2 linked regions of the Astyanax mexicanus genome follow. The protein of the gene in region 2 interacts with the protein of the main gene of each other region in a pairwise test. Links are inferred from orthologs where the notes say so. Each region holds a gene or a part of one and is shown on either strand. Other genes may lie near its edges.

Region 1 (8,670 bases), on a different chromosome or scaffold from region 2:
CCTGAAGACAGAGCTCTTCAAAGAGCACTTACTCTCCTAACACCTCTAACTAACTACCTTCTACTACCAGATCAGGAGAATCTCTCGCTATCTTTAAGAAACTCCTGAAGACACAACTCTTCAAAGAGCACTTACTCTCTTAACACCTCTAACACACTAACTACTTCTAACCTCATTTCCTTCTTCCCCTCCTTCACTCCTCTATCCCATTATTTCCCTTTGACCTCCTTTTATCCCTATCCAAAGATGTTTTACCTTTAAACTTATTTTACATTGTACTTGACTATTGTAAGTCGCTTTGGACAAAATGTAATGTAATGTAATGTAATGTATGAATTTGCAGTGTCTGTTGTTTTACAGTCTGTGATTAACACATGTTTAGTGATTTAATTCCGCTATAAATCTGCATTATAGTTTTTATGGTCCTCCAGTGTTAATTGTGGAGATATTTTAATCCAGTATGAATCCAAAGTGTGTAGATTTTAAAATCTAACAATAATAATTGTGAAGTGATGTTAATCCAGTATGAATCTTCAGTGATTGTCTGCGGTGTAGTGCAGTGATACCTGGCCGTGTTCTGCTGCTGCTGCTGGGAGCTGAGGGGGGTGGAGATTTGTTCTCCGGCTGAAAGCAGAGCTGCAGAGAGACACACACTGAACGCAGCGCTGGAGCCCAACCCTGCACCTGTGGGCAGCTCTGACCACACACACACACTCAGACTGGGCAAAACGCTGACCACACACACCACACAGACACAGACACACCACACAAATTATTCTACAAACTTAATCTTAGATTTTGCAAGAATCTTTTGATTAATTAAAATAATTTTGCTTTAAAGTAAATAGAAATTGTGTAAAAGAGCCTATTAAATATCAGGATTCATTATGGATCATTACAGATACTTTACTTTAAAACTATCAAGTACTCATGCATCGAGGAAAAGGAAATCCTGTATAGAAGAAAAAGATGCATCAAAATGCTCAATAATCACATAAAACTAATCAAACTGTAATCAAATCAAATCGCACGGTGACCTAGAATTTCCCACCCCTATTTAAGTGTTCTATTGTGAATAAATTCTATGTCTATGTTTTTTTTTTTTAAATCAATGCATTCTGTTTTATTCATATTTTACACAGCATCCTGACTATTTTTAATTAGTGTTGTAGAAAGTAATGCAGACTGAAGAGTGTGCGAGATCTTACTCTGCGTCTGAGAACACACTGAGGTAGATGTAGAGGAAAGCTAGCACTGCCATGCTCCTGGTGTCGGTGGATCCTTCAGCGATGCCCGTGAACTCCCTCAGCTTCTTCACCAGGTTCAGATCCAGATCATTATCAACGCTGCTGTCAACTACAGCAGAAAAACAAAATCACTGTAAATCATGGGACACTTGGTTTCAATAGGGCTGCGACTAATAATTATTTTCAGATTAGTCATCGATTATTTCTGCTATTCCCTGAGTTCCTGTTTCTAGCTTTCTCCATCCCTTTTAAACAATAGAAACAGCTGAACATGGGATTTAAATGCTGTTCAGATCTCCAGAACATTGATTTTTAAACATGGAAAGTGCTGATATTTAGTTGATTGAAGACTATGTGAGTGAGCCCATTAAAAGGGTTGGGTATCAAAATTCATTACCATGAATTTTGACAATGACAAAAAGTTTAAAAATGTGGTGTTTATTTTTTATACTTTCCATGAAACACACAAACATGCCAAACGTTGAGAGCACAATCTAATACTGTTTTTTTTTTTTTTTTTAACTTTTAAATCCTGAACTGCATTTAGCAATATGCTTAGGAGAAAATATGTATAATTGATATTAAATGTTATATAATAATAATATAAAGTGCCATAAACACACAAATGCTCATTGTATTCATTCCAACAAGATCCACGAATAGTGTCTCATAACGACAGTATGAGGACTAGATTACTCATGTCGGCTGTTACATAAATATGTTCTGTATTGTTAAAATAAATATTGCCTTTTTTGTTATTTTTTTGTCACATTAAAAAAACAATTAAGAAAAATCTATCATTTGTAAAAAAAAAAAAAAGTATCATTTGGGTCTCAGAATCAAATTCAAAGTGACATATTGGTTTCAAAAACAATGTTACTAAAGCAGCCCGACCTATTACCCTTCTTTCATTGTGTTTCTGTCCTCAGTACTTTATGTAGTACTACATATAAATGATTAGTTAACAATAAACTTTTTTTTTTTTTATAATCGATACTGTCGATTATATCGACTAATCGTTGCAGCTCTAGTTTTAAACAGGCCTGAGGTAAACGCAGCTCATCCTCACCTGTTAAATCAGACAGTAAGGGCTGCAGTTCTGTAACGTCCCACGTCAGGAAGGTGTCGATGTTGGGGAGGTTGATGGTCACTTCTCCGGACGTGGTGGAGAGCAGACGCAGGTACGTCCGCAGATTCAAGCTCACAGCCAGAGCCACCTGTTTACACACAGCAGAGATCAATAACTTTATCTTTATCTTTATATTTGTTAATATGATGATTCTGATGTGACTATTCACAACAGTGACAGTCTGAACTCTTAAAACATTAATATTGTAGTTTTTAAATTAATTTGAACTTGTTTTCTTTGCATTATTTGAGGTCTGAAAGCTCTGCATCTTTTTTTTATTTGAGACATTTCTCATTTTCTGTAAATAAATGCTCTAAATGACAATATTTTTACTTGGAATTTGGAATATATGTTGTTCGTAGATTTTAGAATAAAAAACAATGAATATTTTACTTAAACATAAACCTATAAATAGTCAAATCAGAGAAACTGATCATTTTGAAGTGGTCTCGTCTCGTTTTTTTTTATTTATTATATTATATTATTTTTTGCCATTTTAACACATTTAAAAACATTAATACACTCAATTTAAAGGATAAATCGTAAGCACTGCTGCTTTAAAGACTCTCACTCACCTTCCCATGAACCACTGCGTGCTCTCCATGCAGGATGGACTTTCCTGGAGCTGAAACAAAGCACTGCTTCACCTGCATCTCCAATATTAATATCTACAACCCAAAAAAAGCGACATTTATTACTGATATAAATCAAAACACATTTAAAAACACTCTGCAGGCATGTAAACACGTGTATTAGTGTGGCTGAGATGTGTGTTATACAGATAAATACAGGCATATAACTCACTGACACTTACCACAAACTGCACACAAACTTTATATAAATTAATAACACAAAAATAATGAGATTAAAAGCCTAAAAACACAAATTTAGCCCAGAAAACGGAGTAAAACTGACTAAAATCCTTCACTCTGCTCCTCATCTCGCTCAGCAAACTCTCTAAGCCAGCACGCCTGTGACGTAGAACCACAACTGACCCAACGGACCAATCAGAGCGCGGACCGCAGTGCATTGACCGCAGATCGTCCAATCACAACACAGAGCGCAGTGCACTGACCGCAGATCGTCCAATCAGATCGCGCGTCTCCGCCTCCTGCTGAGGGTCGGGTGATGGAACCAGAGCTGGTTTATAGCGAGACTGCCCACTCCCTGTCGCCTCCGTTATAACAGCAAATTACTGAACACCGCTAGAGGGAGCCCGCGAGTAAGACCAAAATGAATGTGTTTGAATGGAGCTAAACGCTAAAACCTCGAGAAAAAATTTTTAAAAAATAATTAACTACTTGATCAGGACATTCATTTAATTACAGACAGTATAATAAAGTATTTTCATAATAAATAAAAGAAAAAATACCTGTAGCTTTCATTATTTTACAGTAAACTTTAGCACTCTAGCATTGCTGATAGTCTAGGCTCTATCTGCCTATCTATCTATCAAGTCAAGTAGTTTTATTGTCAATACTGCATATGTACAGGACATACAGATATTTGAAATTACATTACTTTCCTTCCCAAATTTTACAGCAGGTACAGATAATAGATATAATAAAAGAGAATGGGAGACACCATGTGTACAATACAGCAGGAACACATAGACATACATGAGACAGAAAACAAAGTGCAGTAGTGGTGGGTTGTGAAATAAGATGTATATTATAAAAGAATGGGAGGCACTATATGTACAATACAACAAGGGCATACGTAAGACGAAAGACAATAGTGCAATATTGATGGTGATTGAGATGGAATGACAGTATAAATAGAACCCGTATAACATTTTTGCAAATATGGTATATTGCTTAAGGCGGGTAAGGAGGATGAGTGCGTAAAGTTCTTAAAGTTCACAGTTCTTGGGGAATTAAAGTGTCTATCTATCTATCTATCTATCTATCTATCTATCTATCTATCTATCTATCTATCTATCTATCTATCTATCTATCTATCTATCTATCTAAGAGTTCTAGATACTTTTCTTTACTCTGTCTGTCTGTCTATCCTGGGCTAGGTAAGTTTATATCAGGGTTTTTTTTGAAAACAAACTCTTTTTCTGTTTACTACCTAATTGCAAGTCTTTAACAATAATTACTTACGTAGTAAATAATAAAAATTATAAAGAACAAATGTAAATAAGAACGTATGTCCAAACTTTAGACTTGGACTGTATATATTATACTTTAAAAAATAAAAACAAAGCAAGATTAAAAGAGGCTGTAAGACAAGTGAAGTAGACTAAAAAGAAGTTCTATTAGTACTTTTATTGCTATTTTTATCATGTTCTTTTCAAACACCTGTAACAACCTTACAGTAGATTTTGGGTCTCGTTTTAACAGATTTATGTGTAGATAATACAAAACCCTTTTTTCTCTGCCGTAAAATAAATTATTTTATTATTTTATTTTATTATGTAATCTCCTACAGGACACTTGAAGTAACTGCCTGTCCATCTTCTACTTCCCTTAATAATTGTAGATCAGTAACAGGAATCAAACCCAAATTCTGCATTCTGTATTTTAAAATTAAGTTTAGGATTTTTTTTTTGGGTGGGGGGTTATGATTTTTATTCATTAAATTTTGACAGGTGCAGATTAAAAAACTGAAAGGGGTTAAGGCATGTTTCAGACAGGCTTTGGGCAAGATGCTTTTTAACGGACATGGCAACCCTGGTAAATTTATGCTGAATGCACAGCCTGAGAACGTTTGATTTTGAGTGAGTTTAACATCTTAAGAAAATATGTCTACATTATTAAAACCTTTAATATTATTCTGAATTGAGGAAATTATTATTTTTTTGCTCAGTTTTGCTTCATAGGAACGCATTCATTTTAAACTCAGCAGCGCCCTCTGGTGGTCAAACCCAGCCAGAGGAGAATCACTGTGAAGTGGTCAGTCTCCTCTCTATACGCTCTCTGATCGCACGCATGAACTCTGAGACGGGGGTACGGGTAGCGAAGCAGACCAATCTTCACGCGTTGTAAACAGGGGAAAGGCGTTGTGTAATAGAGGGGTCGGTGATGGCCGCGGCGGCGGGGCGCTGTGTGCAGCAGCTGCGGGGTGTAGTAGTACTCCGGCCGGCGTGTGCGTGGTCCCTACAGCCGCTGTGTGGAGCTGGACGGAGGTAAATACAGATAACCAGCCGGCTGTGGATTATTAACTGATTATACAGGCTGTTAATGCCTGTAATCTGGACTGTGCTTGTGTTTATCTGGTTGTGAGGTTCTCTGTTACCTGATTTAATGATTTTTGAGCTCTGATATTTTTATTTTTACCCCGTTAGAAGGTTAAATGAGGTTCTGAGGAGCTACAGTGAGTCTGTTAATGATTTAAAGCTCTAAATAGCTGACTGAGATGGAGAATAAAAAATACAAATAAGTGAATTAATGCATGTTATAGTGTTTTTATGCAGTATATATAAATCCTGTAACCTACAGTTTAACTATTCAAAGTCTTTAATATCAATTAAAGACTTTGAATTTAGGTGTTTGAAGCCTGAGACTGAGAGGATGAATTGGAATGAAACTTTTATGCTTCGCACCAAACCCCACTCTGAATATATAAATACAATTCATTAACCATACAGCATACTGGTGTTTATTGTTTATTAATCTGACCATCTAACCATCAGTGTTTTTCCATCTTTCTGAAACAGGTATGCCACAAAGTCTGATGGAGATGGACCAGTTCCCAAGATATACACCAAAACTGGAGATAAAGGTAATGAGAATTCTCAAACTGACGTGAACACAACACGCTTGGAGGAGAACACTAACTTGTAATACTGTTACATCAGCTAAGCAGCTACAGACCCCTACACTAGCTAGCTTTCCCATGCTACAGATCACAGAAAGGCCCACCACATACAGCTCTGGAAAAAAATAATAAGAGAGCACTTAAAAATGATTTTCTTTGATTTTACCAAACTAAAAACCTCTAGAATATAATCAAGAGGAAGATGGATGATCACAAGCCATCAAACCACCAAACTGAACTGCTTGATTTTTTGCACCAGGAGTAAAGCAGCATAAAGTTATCCAAAAGCAGTGTGTAAGACTGGTGGAGGAGGAGAACATGATGCCAAGATGCATGAAAACTGTGATTAAAAACCACCAGGGTAATTCCACCAAATATTGATTTCTGAACTCTTAAAACTTTATGAATATGAACTAGTTTTTTTCTTTGCATTATTTGAGGTCTGAAAGCTCTGCATCTTTTTTGCTCTAAATGACAATATTTTTATTTGGAATTTGGGAGAAATGATATCCATAGTTTATAGAATAAAACAACAATGTTCATCAAACGTAAACCTATAAATAGCAAAACCCGAGAAACTGAAGTGCTCTCTTTTCTTAATTTTTTCTCAGAGCTGAAATAATAAATATACATATTGTGGTTTTGGCGTTAGAAATAGCGTGTAAAGGATTGAGTTTTGTAATGAATCTTGATTTTACAGATCTGAAAATTCGTACTTTTTCTTCGTAGGGTTTTCCAGCACTTTCACAGGAGAGAGGAGGCCCAAGGAGGACCATATTTTTGAAGCCTTGGGAACAACAGATGAGCTCTCTTCAGCTGTAGGGTGGGTGATCAGTTCTAGACCAGAGCGTTGGTCGGTTCTGGATAATTTTTTGCTTACTGTTTTTCCTGTTCTTGTTTTTAGGCTGGCCAGAGAGTTCTGCCTGGAGAAAGGACATTCCTTCACAGATCAGCTGGATAAGGTGTGTGTCATTATTATTATTATTATTATTATTATTATTATTATATCTGAAGTATTTTAATAATTGTAAGGACAGTCTGAGTGTGGTTTATCTGTTTCTTCATACAGATCCAGTGTGTTCTGCAGGACGTGGGCTCGAACATCGCCACTCCACGATCTTCAGCCAGAGACAGCCACATTAGTACGTGTCCTCTGTTTGAGCTGGGCTAACTAGAGTGTGATAGAAGGAGAAAGCAGAAGAAGTTCAGCCTGCTTTTTAGTCTCTGAGATAATCTCTGTTTTAATTTTCCATTCCACCTTAAATGGTGGAGCTGTTACATTAAAGGAGAACTCTGGTGTTAAATAGACTTTTGTTGTAGTAAAACATGATAAAGCTTTCCGAGATCCAGTAATTTTGTGCTTTTTGTCCAGCACTCTGTACAATGGCCGCATCGAGGCATATTTTGCCCCAATAAATCACTTTTTACACCGTTATCCAGGCCTAAAGTAGCTCCACACCTCCTTGGTAGAATGCTAGCTTCAGCTCTGAGAGCCGCCATCACTGTGCTGATAATAACATAAGATATGTATACATAGACTCCACATAACCTGCAGGATGTCTATGCCATTATCAGTACAGTGATGGCGGCGCTCAGAGCTGAAGCTCACATTATGGGTTGTAAACAGTGGTGTTTAATAAGCTTCTCGTACACGTTTTAAGTTATTAATGCCTCGTTTTAAATGTCAGGGCTCTCTGGATTCTACCAGTGAGGTGTGGAGCTACTTTAAGATGGATAACAGTGTAAAAAGTCATTATCTGGGCAAAATATGCCCCGATACGGCCGTTGTACAGAGTGCTGGACCAAAAGCACAAAATAACTGGATCTCAGAAAGCTGTAGGAGAGCGAAGGTGGGCTATTGACAACGTTTAGTACTCTTTATTAGTTAGTACTACACCCAAAGTCAATTTCACACCAGAGTTCTCCTTCAATTTAAGGTGGAATAGAACCTTATAATTAAACATCCAGCTAATTCTGTGTGTGTGTGTGTGTGTGTGTGTGCTGTCTGTACTTTTTAAATCAGAAAGGACTAAGTTCAGCAGTCAGCCGGTGTTGGAGCTGGAGAGCTGGATAGACTCCTACACAGCAGAGCTTCCCCCGCTTACTAACTTCATACTGCCGGTAAATCTGTTCCACCAGTGCCTGTTTACTGTGGTGATCATTACACTGTCAGAGAAATTATGCATTCTGCTTCGTAGTTCTTTTTAGTTCAATCAACTTCAAATCACAGATATAGTTGTTATATAACTAAGAAAGGGCTAACTGATGTGTAAATATAGTTTAGAACTGTCGTAACTCATAACATGATCAGGATGTTTCATCAAGCTCTGCCAGCTATTGTCAGCAGAGCTTCATCTAGTATTTTCTTATTTGAACTTTGCAGTATGTCACGCTAATCTGTGTGGGTTGTAGCCTCTGAATCTGCTCACTGCCATTCCCCTAGTCTAATTTATACTGATTGTTTAATACAGTATGAAAAGGTTACAGATTATCACAGTTACAATGCAGTGGTATTACTCTTAGTGTCCC
Region 2 (9,161 bases):
GAAAAATATTTTTTTAAATGTTACCATTAGATTCTACATTACAACTAATTACAACTTTAGATCAGTACAGGACATCAACTTAATTAAAAACTTGCTTTTTAACACTGGAGCGTCAAATCTGTATAACAGTTTAAATCCATGATGAATGACTTACTGCTGGCTGGTGGCTGCTGCCCATATGACGACCCATAAGCCTGCTGACCGTAACTCCCAGATGAGCTGCCAGTTTGAGGGTAGGCTGAATCAGCAGGTTGGGTGTATGAGCCATAGCCCTGCTGCTGTCCGTATGATTGCTGGAGAAACAGAAGCGCATCATAAGCTTATTCACATTCCCAAGACTCTAGATAAAACTCAGTGCACATTAATATTAAGAACATAGAACATTTAGGACATTTTTTTTTAAAGATACAAAACTCAGCCGACACAGTTATATACTTTTTTATATAACATAATTTTCTGTGTGTTTTTTGGGGAAAAAATAGATTTAAAATACATTCTTTTACTGTTTTTAATGTCAGGAGTATTTAACACTAACTTGCTTATAACCAGAGGCTTTAAAGGCCCATTACGGATTAAATTTTCTGTAGTTCTTTATTACATGATCAGGATGCATCATCAGATATTAAGGAAACATGAGTTTAAGCACGGACACCTCTTCCCAGCAGAGCATAAGATTCAGCTGCAATATTTGAACTGTGAACTGTGTTCAAATATGTAGTGCATCCATTCCCCTAGTACCATTTCCACACTCAGGGTTACCAGGTATAGAACACATCAGCATGCAAACAGTGTGCTACAGCCATGGAAACGGGTGAGCTGGCTATTTTTCTGTTGAACAGGTAATCACTGAGCTTCAGTAAGGTTGCTAACCAAAGCTGAGTAATTTAACACCTCCAATAGTGTAGTAGACAGAGACATTTTGGACACTGAAACGTACATCTTTACAGAGTAAGACTTGTTGTCACTTGCCACTGTGTGGCTAGTGCAGGAAACTTAATCAGGTGTTTGGAAAGTGGACTCATGTAGCCATACTGACTGATCCTTTAAAATAGGAATAAATTATCTGAGTGTGTTACCTGGGCACCCTGTCCGTAGGCCTGAGAGGGCTGGGCAGCATAGGAGCTGTACCTGGAAAAAAAAATACACTAACATTAACAAGCAAAATAACCATTATATATATATATTCAGAAACAATTATATATAAATATTAATTTATATTAATTAATTAATATTTTCTATACTTAAAAGCAGTATTCTTACCCTTGCTGGCCTCCGGCCTGCCCGTAACTGTTATAATCTGTGGTAATAAAAAACACAGTCAGTGTAAAAAATTATGTTTATACCATACATACAACCTAGAAGAAATAAAACGAAAACCTACCAGCCCTTCTGACTGTTTTTTATGGCTATTATTAATTATTGTGCATCCCAAAACAATTATTGCATACACCAGAGGTGTTATAACACTCCTGAGAATACACATGAGAAATTCATAATTACCTAGTTCCTAGAAGAACTCCCTCATCAGCTGAAGAAGCAGAGCCACTTTTGACATGATGCGCTTATTTTATAGACAGAATTTAAACTACTTATTAAAAAAATACTGTTAAAATTCATATTAATTGTGCCCACCTAAGGCAAAAAGATTCTGCATTATTTCAGCCTTACTTAAGAGAATACACAATTGTATCCTAATGTGTCAATCAATAAAAAAAACAATTTGATAAATAATTAAAATAAAATTAAATACAGTTAATGCTACAAGTTATACACATTACTCTAATTTTTTACATATCACAGAAACAGTACACCAAGGTTAATTTGTTCCAATACTGTGAAGTTTAGTCCTCCAACAAATGAGCTAATCCCTTCCTTTAACAAATAGTTCTCCCAACTAAATAATCTGTTTCTTCAGTTCAGAAGGGGCACTTTAGTTAAAGGTTCTTTAATCCTGAATGTTGTATCCTTACTAGCCAAACATATACAAGACAGAACTAAACGAATAAAAAAAGAAACTAGCAAGTTAATTCAAAACAGGCTGATGATCAAAATGCCTTACTGTTGGTTTACAGTAATTAATTACTGTTATAATGTGATTTTCAAAATGGGGGTAATTCTGATTGTACATCTTTACATATATAAGCTACAGAGGGAATCTTAGTAGATGGACATTTGCGCTTTTATGTGGCAGTGATTTTCATCATTTTAAACTTTACCTTAAATACAAACTTGCAAGTAGGTTATGATTAGACAATGTGTTTAATATAAAAGCTGCGTGTACAGTTAAAAGGCGGGTGCTTAATATTCATAAAAACATTTATTTAATGTTTTAAATAAATAATGTTTTTTAAATGAAAATAAATAAAAATGAAGCAATAGCTTGATATTGTGCTGTGTTTTTTTTTTTACAAAAAATATTTTATTTTCTTACTATTATTGAGTAATACTGCTCTATCATTCTTTTTAGTATTTATCTTACCTGTTTATGTCTCTGTACAGTAAGTTATACTAGTACCTCAAAATAACGAAACAGTATCTCAAAATAATGAACAAGTATCTCAAAATAATAAGGAAGCTGTTTATATCACAAAAAAATGTGCTGGATTTTATTTTATTTTTTTATTTTAGCCGGCGGGAATGGGCTTCTATACCCTACTGATGTTTTGTGGTAAAAAATAACTAGTTAAAAACCTAGATAACCTATTTATCTAATTTTCCACAGATCATTTCGATATTATATAATAAGGACAAGCTAAAAAATATTTCAATGCGATTTTTAAGCGTTTAAATTCTCTTTTTTGAGTCAGAAATGCAAAAATGCTAGCTAACTAGTTACGCCCACCGCCTTAGAATAATGGGCTAGAGAGCTAGCTAGTTAGCTAACTAGGTTAGCCAGTCATTCTAATCACGTTTAACTGAATTTACAAGCTAGCGAACATAAAATAGCTTACTGCACAATGTCTAAACAACGTTTTACACCCACGAATACAGCTAGCTAAATAAGCTATACTGACCGACAATGTCTATGTAAGCGTTAAAAAGCTCAATCTACCGGTAACGCTTAGCTCAAATAGCTGAATAGCCAGCTAACGGTAGAATGCTCACGTTCATAAACCAGCCAAATAAGCCTAATTATAATCGATTTAACAACATTATACAGATACAAACATCACATACAATATGCTTATATATTCTTCAACCAATATCTGATGATAATAGTCTACGTTTCATTATAAATAATCGTTTTTCTTGCATTATTGTAACCGTTACCTGCAGCGGACGCCATTTCGTGTTCTATTTTCTTCACCCGGAGTCCACAGGCGAGAACTGCGCATGCGCACGATACCTTCGCACCAAAGGCGCATCCATTCAGCTGCGATTTATATAAAATCATTTTTAAAAGTTTTACAAATGGTTTAAAATCGCGCTACGCTCTACTATAACCCAAATTAAGTGTCAGCATTTATACTTAGAGTTCTGAACAAGGTTTAAGATAAGTATTTAAGCTCAGACTGTGACAGTTTGGACTGTATATTGTATATTATGTAAAAAATGGACCAGTTCTTAGAGTTGATGTTGTTGTTATACAGTAAGGTTGTATATGTTTTTATTTATTTATTTTTCATACATTGTAAATGAATACTGAATTAATCTAGACTATGAAGCGAAGCATAAGGAGTCATGTAGTGAACCTAAAAGTGAAACATTTAGCTGGGCTCTTATCTGGGTACTGGTCCTGATAAGTGCCAGTTTCATCATATTTTTTAAATGGTTTTTGTGACTGCACGTAAGGATATTTTCAAAGTTCTTGAAATTTTTCAGATTGACTAACCTTCATTTCTGAAAAAGTTAAGTATTTTTTGCTTTACTTACTTTACATAACCCCAATAGTTGAAACAAAATCACTGTATACCAACTACAATTCTTCTCAAACACATTAAGAGGGCAATTAATTCTTGATGAGTTCAGCACAGCTGTTAACTTAAAGCCATTCTAGGTGACTATACTTTATAAAGCTGTCTGAGAAAATGTTAAACTACAATGCAGAACATATTCAAAGGTGCGTCCAATCATACATGCTACAGTTTAGAAGTTTAGATCCAAATGAAAAGCAGATAAATTATTTAAATCAAGTTTTGTTGAATAAATATGTTGGTTTTGAACACTCTCAAATGATATATACAATTATCGTAGAATAACCTGTATTAATGTCTGAGTCAGAACATCTCTAGAACATCAGGCAAGTCTTGTTTGGTGTTCCAGAATGAAGTGTTCAGCACCTAATGTACTGAAAATGTCCCTAATGTACCGATAAGCACCCAGGTTTATCATTGATGCTCATGTAGGCTCTGCCCACCTCTTACACAACTTACAGAACTTAAAGCTACAAATAAGAAAGACGACAAGCCACCAGAAATCTCTCTTTTTGCAAATGATGCTTTAATACTGTACTCAATGAAAATTTCAATGAAAATTCTATCTAGTATGAAAATGATGGCTATTTTTTTCTTTTACTTGCGAAGTTTACCTGAAACATCACAAGTATTTTTTTTTACTTCATAATGTGTGCGTGTGCGTGCTTCAGATCCACGGGATAGAGACGGCTCAATAAATTCAATATTCCCATTTCAGAGTAGCATACAAAACTGTATCTGGAAAAATACTTATGGCACTTTTGAAATCCGATATGAAAATGGAAATGTCTGTGAATAAATAAGAGGGTTTCCCAAGTCGAGGTCGTATCTCTAATAAAATATAAATATAACAGCAGGGCTGCACTGACAAACTTATTTAAAGATGTTATATGGCAGATGTTGAGTGATGTTGAGTTTGGTGGAGCCGGTGATGATAGTCAGTGGCAGATATCGCTGATATGAATGTGTTTATCTAAGGCAGTCAGTCTCGATTGATCCTGCTTTAATAAAAAAGTGGGGGATGGGCTGGAATGTTGAAATGGTATAAAAGGAAAGGCGATGAAACGTCCGGTTGCTGTGGTTAGTGCTGCAGAGCTGCGGTGAGGAAACAGGAGGAGTGTAAGTCATGGTAAGCCAGGGTGGATTAGCTCAGGTCTCAGAATTTCCTCGCTGCTCACAGTAATCCATCCTGCTCGAAGACGGAGGGAAGCAGGGAGAAGTCGAAGGGGGCGAATTTTACACCTGTTCCACTGTAGAACTTGTTCTGAAACTCCACCCTGGAGACAGAGAGAAATAAAGAATGATTATACAGTAAATAAGAGAAAAAATCCCTAAAACTGCAGCATACACCATAGGAAGGCTAATACTCCCACCCACTTTAATTTAGTGAGTAAAAATTATGGTGACTAACAGCATCTAGCTGGAAGTGTCTGTGGCATGTGAGTGTAATATTGAGTGTGTGTGCTGACCAGTGTAGGCGCAGGGCGTGCAGGAAGGCAGAGAGCCCCTCCATGATCAGCAGGATGGAGACGGTGAGGATGGCGAAGAGACTGAAAACAGGGGCGAGAACCAGCACCCCCAACCTGGAGTTAATCCTCAGAGCAACACGCAGGACCATCGCCCACAGCACCTCCGACAGCTCTGTTATACACATGCACACGCACACACAAACAAAACATTTATTTTATTTTTATATAACAAAAGCATTCAAATACAGTATGTGAATTGTAGTAATACACAAGAGAAAGACAGATAAGAAGTCTATAGGCGATACCGTTGCAGTGCTTATTGCTATCTTACACCCTACCAACAGTCTATTTTCACGCCTTCCACCTTCCTCGTTTAAATAGCAACAGTGCTTTTGAATATATCTACACTGATGGGCGTGGTGGTGTGGAAATTAAGGAAAGTTCAGGTAAATTTCTGGCGTATTGCTTTCTTGGCAATAGACAACCTCAACCTCAACCTTGCCTTTTTTATTACTCTCATTCTGCATTCTCATTGGCTGTAGCTAGTCGCTGCATTAATGTCCAGTCAAAGCACTTTTCACACTACTGGAGTCACTGGCTAGTCCAGATATTAAACCTGCTAGATATTAGATATTGTGGACGAGCTCTCGGATCACATCTTTGACCAGTTCACACACAGTGATTATGACAAGACAGAGGGAATGCAAACTTGTAGCTCAATATGCTCAATGAGTGTGTATGTGTGTGTGTGTGTGTGTGTACTAACGAGCATGAGCCAGGCTGAGGGCCCACAGGCGAAGGTACGATGCCGTGTTGGAGATGCAGCCCAGGCAGAACTCTATAGTGTGAATGGCCTGATGTAGGAAAACATCCCCAAAATCAAACTGCAAACAAAAGTACACAAATTAACTCACATAACAAATACACAACATGGGACACCAGCTTTTTCATGGTTTATTTTAAAATTAAGGGAATGAAAAAAGAGTTTATCCTGCTTTTGTTAAAGTAACTGTCTGAACTGTCCAGGAGAAGGTGTTTTACTAGATGTTTGCAATGGGTGCAACTTAGCTGTAAATTAGCTAACTGCATTCATTAGAGGGCTGTCCACAAATATTTGGACACGAGTGTGAGAAACCACATAGTAATTTAAGTAATTCTTAATAAAGATATCTGTGTATCAGGTTCAGGTAGTGTTTGTAGTTTGATAGTTTGAATCGGACCTCTTTTGGGCTGCAGTCTCGACCCGGGTGATCATCCAGCCCTTCCTCTTCATCGTGGACGATAGACGGGGACAGATCGTCCTCACTTAAACGGCGAACTCGCTCATAGCCCTGTACAGAAAAAAATAAGACACTGTGAAAAAAAACAAAAAAACAAAGCTAGCAAGGGTACTATTTGCAAATTAGATCAAAACAATGGGTCAAGATTAGCTTTTATCCTACATAGCTAATATCTTACATCAATATGTTTAATATTACAAATAAATGAAAAAATGTTTTGTGGCTGTAGTGCAAACATGTGGAATTATTCACTTTTATCTTAAAAAAAACAAAAAAACAAAAGCTTTTATCATGCCTACCTCATTCTGCAGTAAACAATATGTTATATTGGTGGTGCACAAAAAACACATACACACAGCTGACTGCCTGTATGGTGGAGTCAGTACAACCCAATGGGTAGAATTATTGTTTTTTACCACAATTAGTGAGCACTGGACGAGGAAAACAGCAGATAAAATCATATAGAGTAGAGTAGACCTGTATGGCCTACACAGCCTTCGAAAGCTGCGCCACCATCCACCACATCCTTTAAAGAATCCTGTCCCTGAACTGGAACACACTCATGCAGTCTCTACATGCAGCATCCCACAGTAGTCAACACGCACGTACACACACCCTGTGGACTCCCAGGCTTTTGCTGCCGTGATGAAGCCAGTAGAGGTAAAGCGGTTTCCCCAGCAGGAGCACAGGAACACACAGCAGAGCCATGGCCACCAGAAACACCTGCAGACCCATCTGTAACACACACACACACAACACACTATTAAACACAGCATAGACATGCACACTCCACCACTAAACACCATGTTGCAGTTATATTGCATCATACCACACTACACCATCTTCAGATCTCACATAATGATGTTGAGCAGATGTGTTGGATGATACAAGCCGTCTGTTTCTTACTTAGATAAAAACAAGCACTTAAATAACTGGATTTGCAACCAATGCATTATGCAATGACAGCACAATTACCTGCATTAAACCCTACTGAGAGCTTGATGGATGAGTGGAGAGAGAAAAACATCTCAAGATGTTTGTAGAAATTTCAGGACCATGTTTTAGCGATCTACAGTTGAGTCATCACTGTAACAGTGCAGCTTGATTTAGGGCATGTCAGTGTGTCTTTGCTATCGTAATGACAGGAAAAGTACACCTTGGGTGGCTCAAAACATGCAAAAGGAATGAACTAATTCTCTTAATTAATCATAGGTAACTTAAAATAAACCAATCAGAATGTCATGTCTTGCTATTCCCTTTAAGAGCCAGGTGAGCTCTGACTCTGGCGGATTGCTATTTTAACAGCGTATCTACCTGGACGTGTTCAAAGCTTCTCAGCAGAGGAAACTGATCTGCTCGTTCACACTGTAAAGGTGTGCCAGCAGCTCATTTACGGGAACAGTAATGTTATTTTATTTAGTGTTCTGTTTATTGTTGATGAAAAAGTTGGGCTTGTGCAGGGTGTTCACATGCAGAGCACCAAGATAGCAACTAACATCTGACTTTTGACGTCTGTCTAGGTCGTATTAAGTCTATTGCTATTTAAACAATGCAGGTGCAAGGTAGGTGTGTAAATAGACTGTTCACACCTCACACAGGGTGTAAGATAGGTCTCTCAGTATCAGTATCAGCTGTACCTTAAACTATCTGCTTCAGAATCATGCAGAATCACTAATTCTCACACAATGCTGTTTTAAAATTAGTATCAGGCCACAAATTATCATATATATAAACGCACACACACACATACACACAGATGAAGCTGTGCTAACATAAACAATCAGACACATACTACACACACACACACACACACACCTGTCCAGGATACAGTGGTGTGGTGGCATTGCCCTGCATGAGGAACATGCTGATGAAGTGGATGAGGATACTGGGGGCTGTCCTCGAATCCTGGACAGAAAAGGCCAGCCATTTATAGAAGATCATAAAGACCAGATAACCGAAGAGACAGAGCAGGAAGAGCAGCTCCGGCAGGAACAGCAGGTACAGTTTAAACTTCTGCCTGAAGTGCCTGCAGATAAAAAACACACCACAGCACAAACACACAAGAACTGTGAGATTACAGCGGGTTTACACTGTAGCTACAAGCAGTGCAATGTGGCCAACAAGCTTCTTACACCACAGAAGAACATGTTACACATAGCTAGGGTTCACAATTGTAGTGAAGTCATAATATTTTAAACAGATGCAAATTACTGCTATTTAGTGCTGGACGATAAATACATTTTTTTTAACATACATACATACATATACACAGGTACACAGACACATGTCATACACACACATACCCATACATGCATACTACTGTCACGCCTACCACAGACTCTGTAGTTCCCATCTCTAACTCTGCCGTTCCCGTCTATGGACAATCCCCGGTCCGGAACTACACCTCCCAGCATGCTCCTGACAACACCACGTGTTCGGACTCAGCCAACCGCGGCTCTTTCGTGGGGTCTACGTCACCGGAATTCCATATTGTGTTC

Evidence for each region.
Region 1: the proteins of ewsr1a (region 2) and mvk interact in a two-hybrid assay, tested with the Homo sapiens proteins (2 studies listed by BioGRID and IntAct). The two-hybrid records come from large-scale screens. The link is inferred for Astyanax mexicanus from reciprocal best matches to the Homo sapiens genes EWSR1 and MVK.

Annotation. Positions count from the first base shown.
Region 1 is NC_064429.1:9,746,782-9,755,451, forward strand, and holds the start of mvk (mevalonate kinase), read right to left. Parts: upstream 3,359-8,670; 5' UTR 3,191-3,358; intron 3,045-3,190; 5' UTR 3,030-3,044; coding exon 2,952-3,029; intron 2,465-2,951; coding exon 2,317-2,464; intron 1,357-2,316; coding exon 1,209-1,356; intron 732-1,208; coding exon 567-731; intron 1-566. Other genes in the region: mmab (corrinoid adenosyltransferase), read left to right, coding at 5,406-5,509, 6,041-6,105, 6,871-7,103, 7,211-7,283, 8,165-8,262. UniProt on the Homo sapiens protein: Catalyzes the phosphorylation of mevalonate to mevalonate 5-phosphate, a key step in isoprenoid and cholesterol biosynthesis.
Region 2 is NC_064427.1:20,602,959-20,612,119, forward strand, and holds the start of ewsr1a (EWS RNA-binding protein 1a), read right to left. Parts: upstream 3,335-9,161; 5' UTR 3,287-3,334; coding exon 3,271-3,286; intron 1,298-3,270; coding exon 1,261-1,297; intron 1,129-1,260; coding exon 1,077-1,128; intron 294-1,076; coding exon 155-293; intron 1-154. Other genes in the region: atp6v0a2a (V-type proton ATPase 116 kDa subunit a 2), read right to left, coding at 5,089-5,191, 5,384-5,555, 6,150-6,267, 6,604-6,714, 7,273-7,398, 8,479-8,689. UniProt on the Homo sapiens protein: Binds to ssRNA containing the consensus sequence 5'-AGGUAA-3'. Might normally function as a transcriptional repressor. EWS-fusion-proteins (EFPS) may play a role in the tumorigenic process.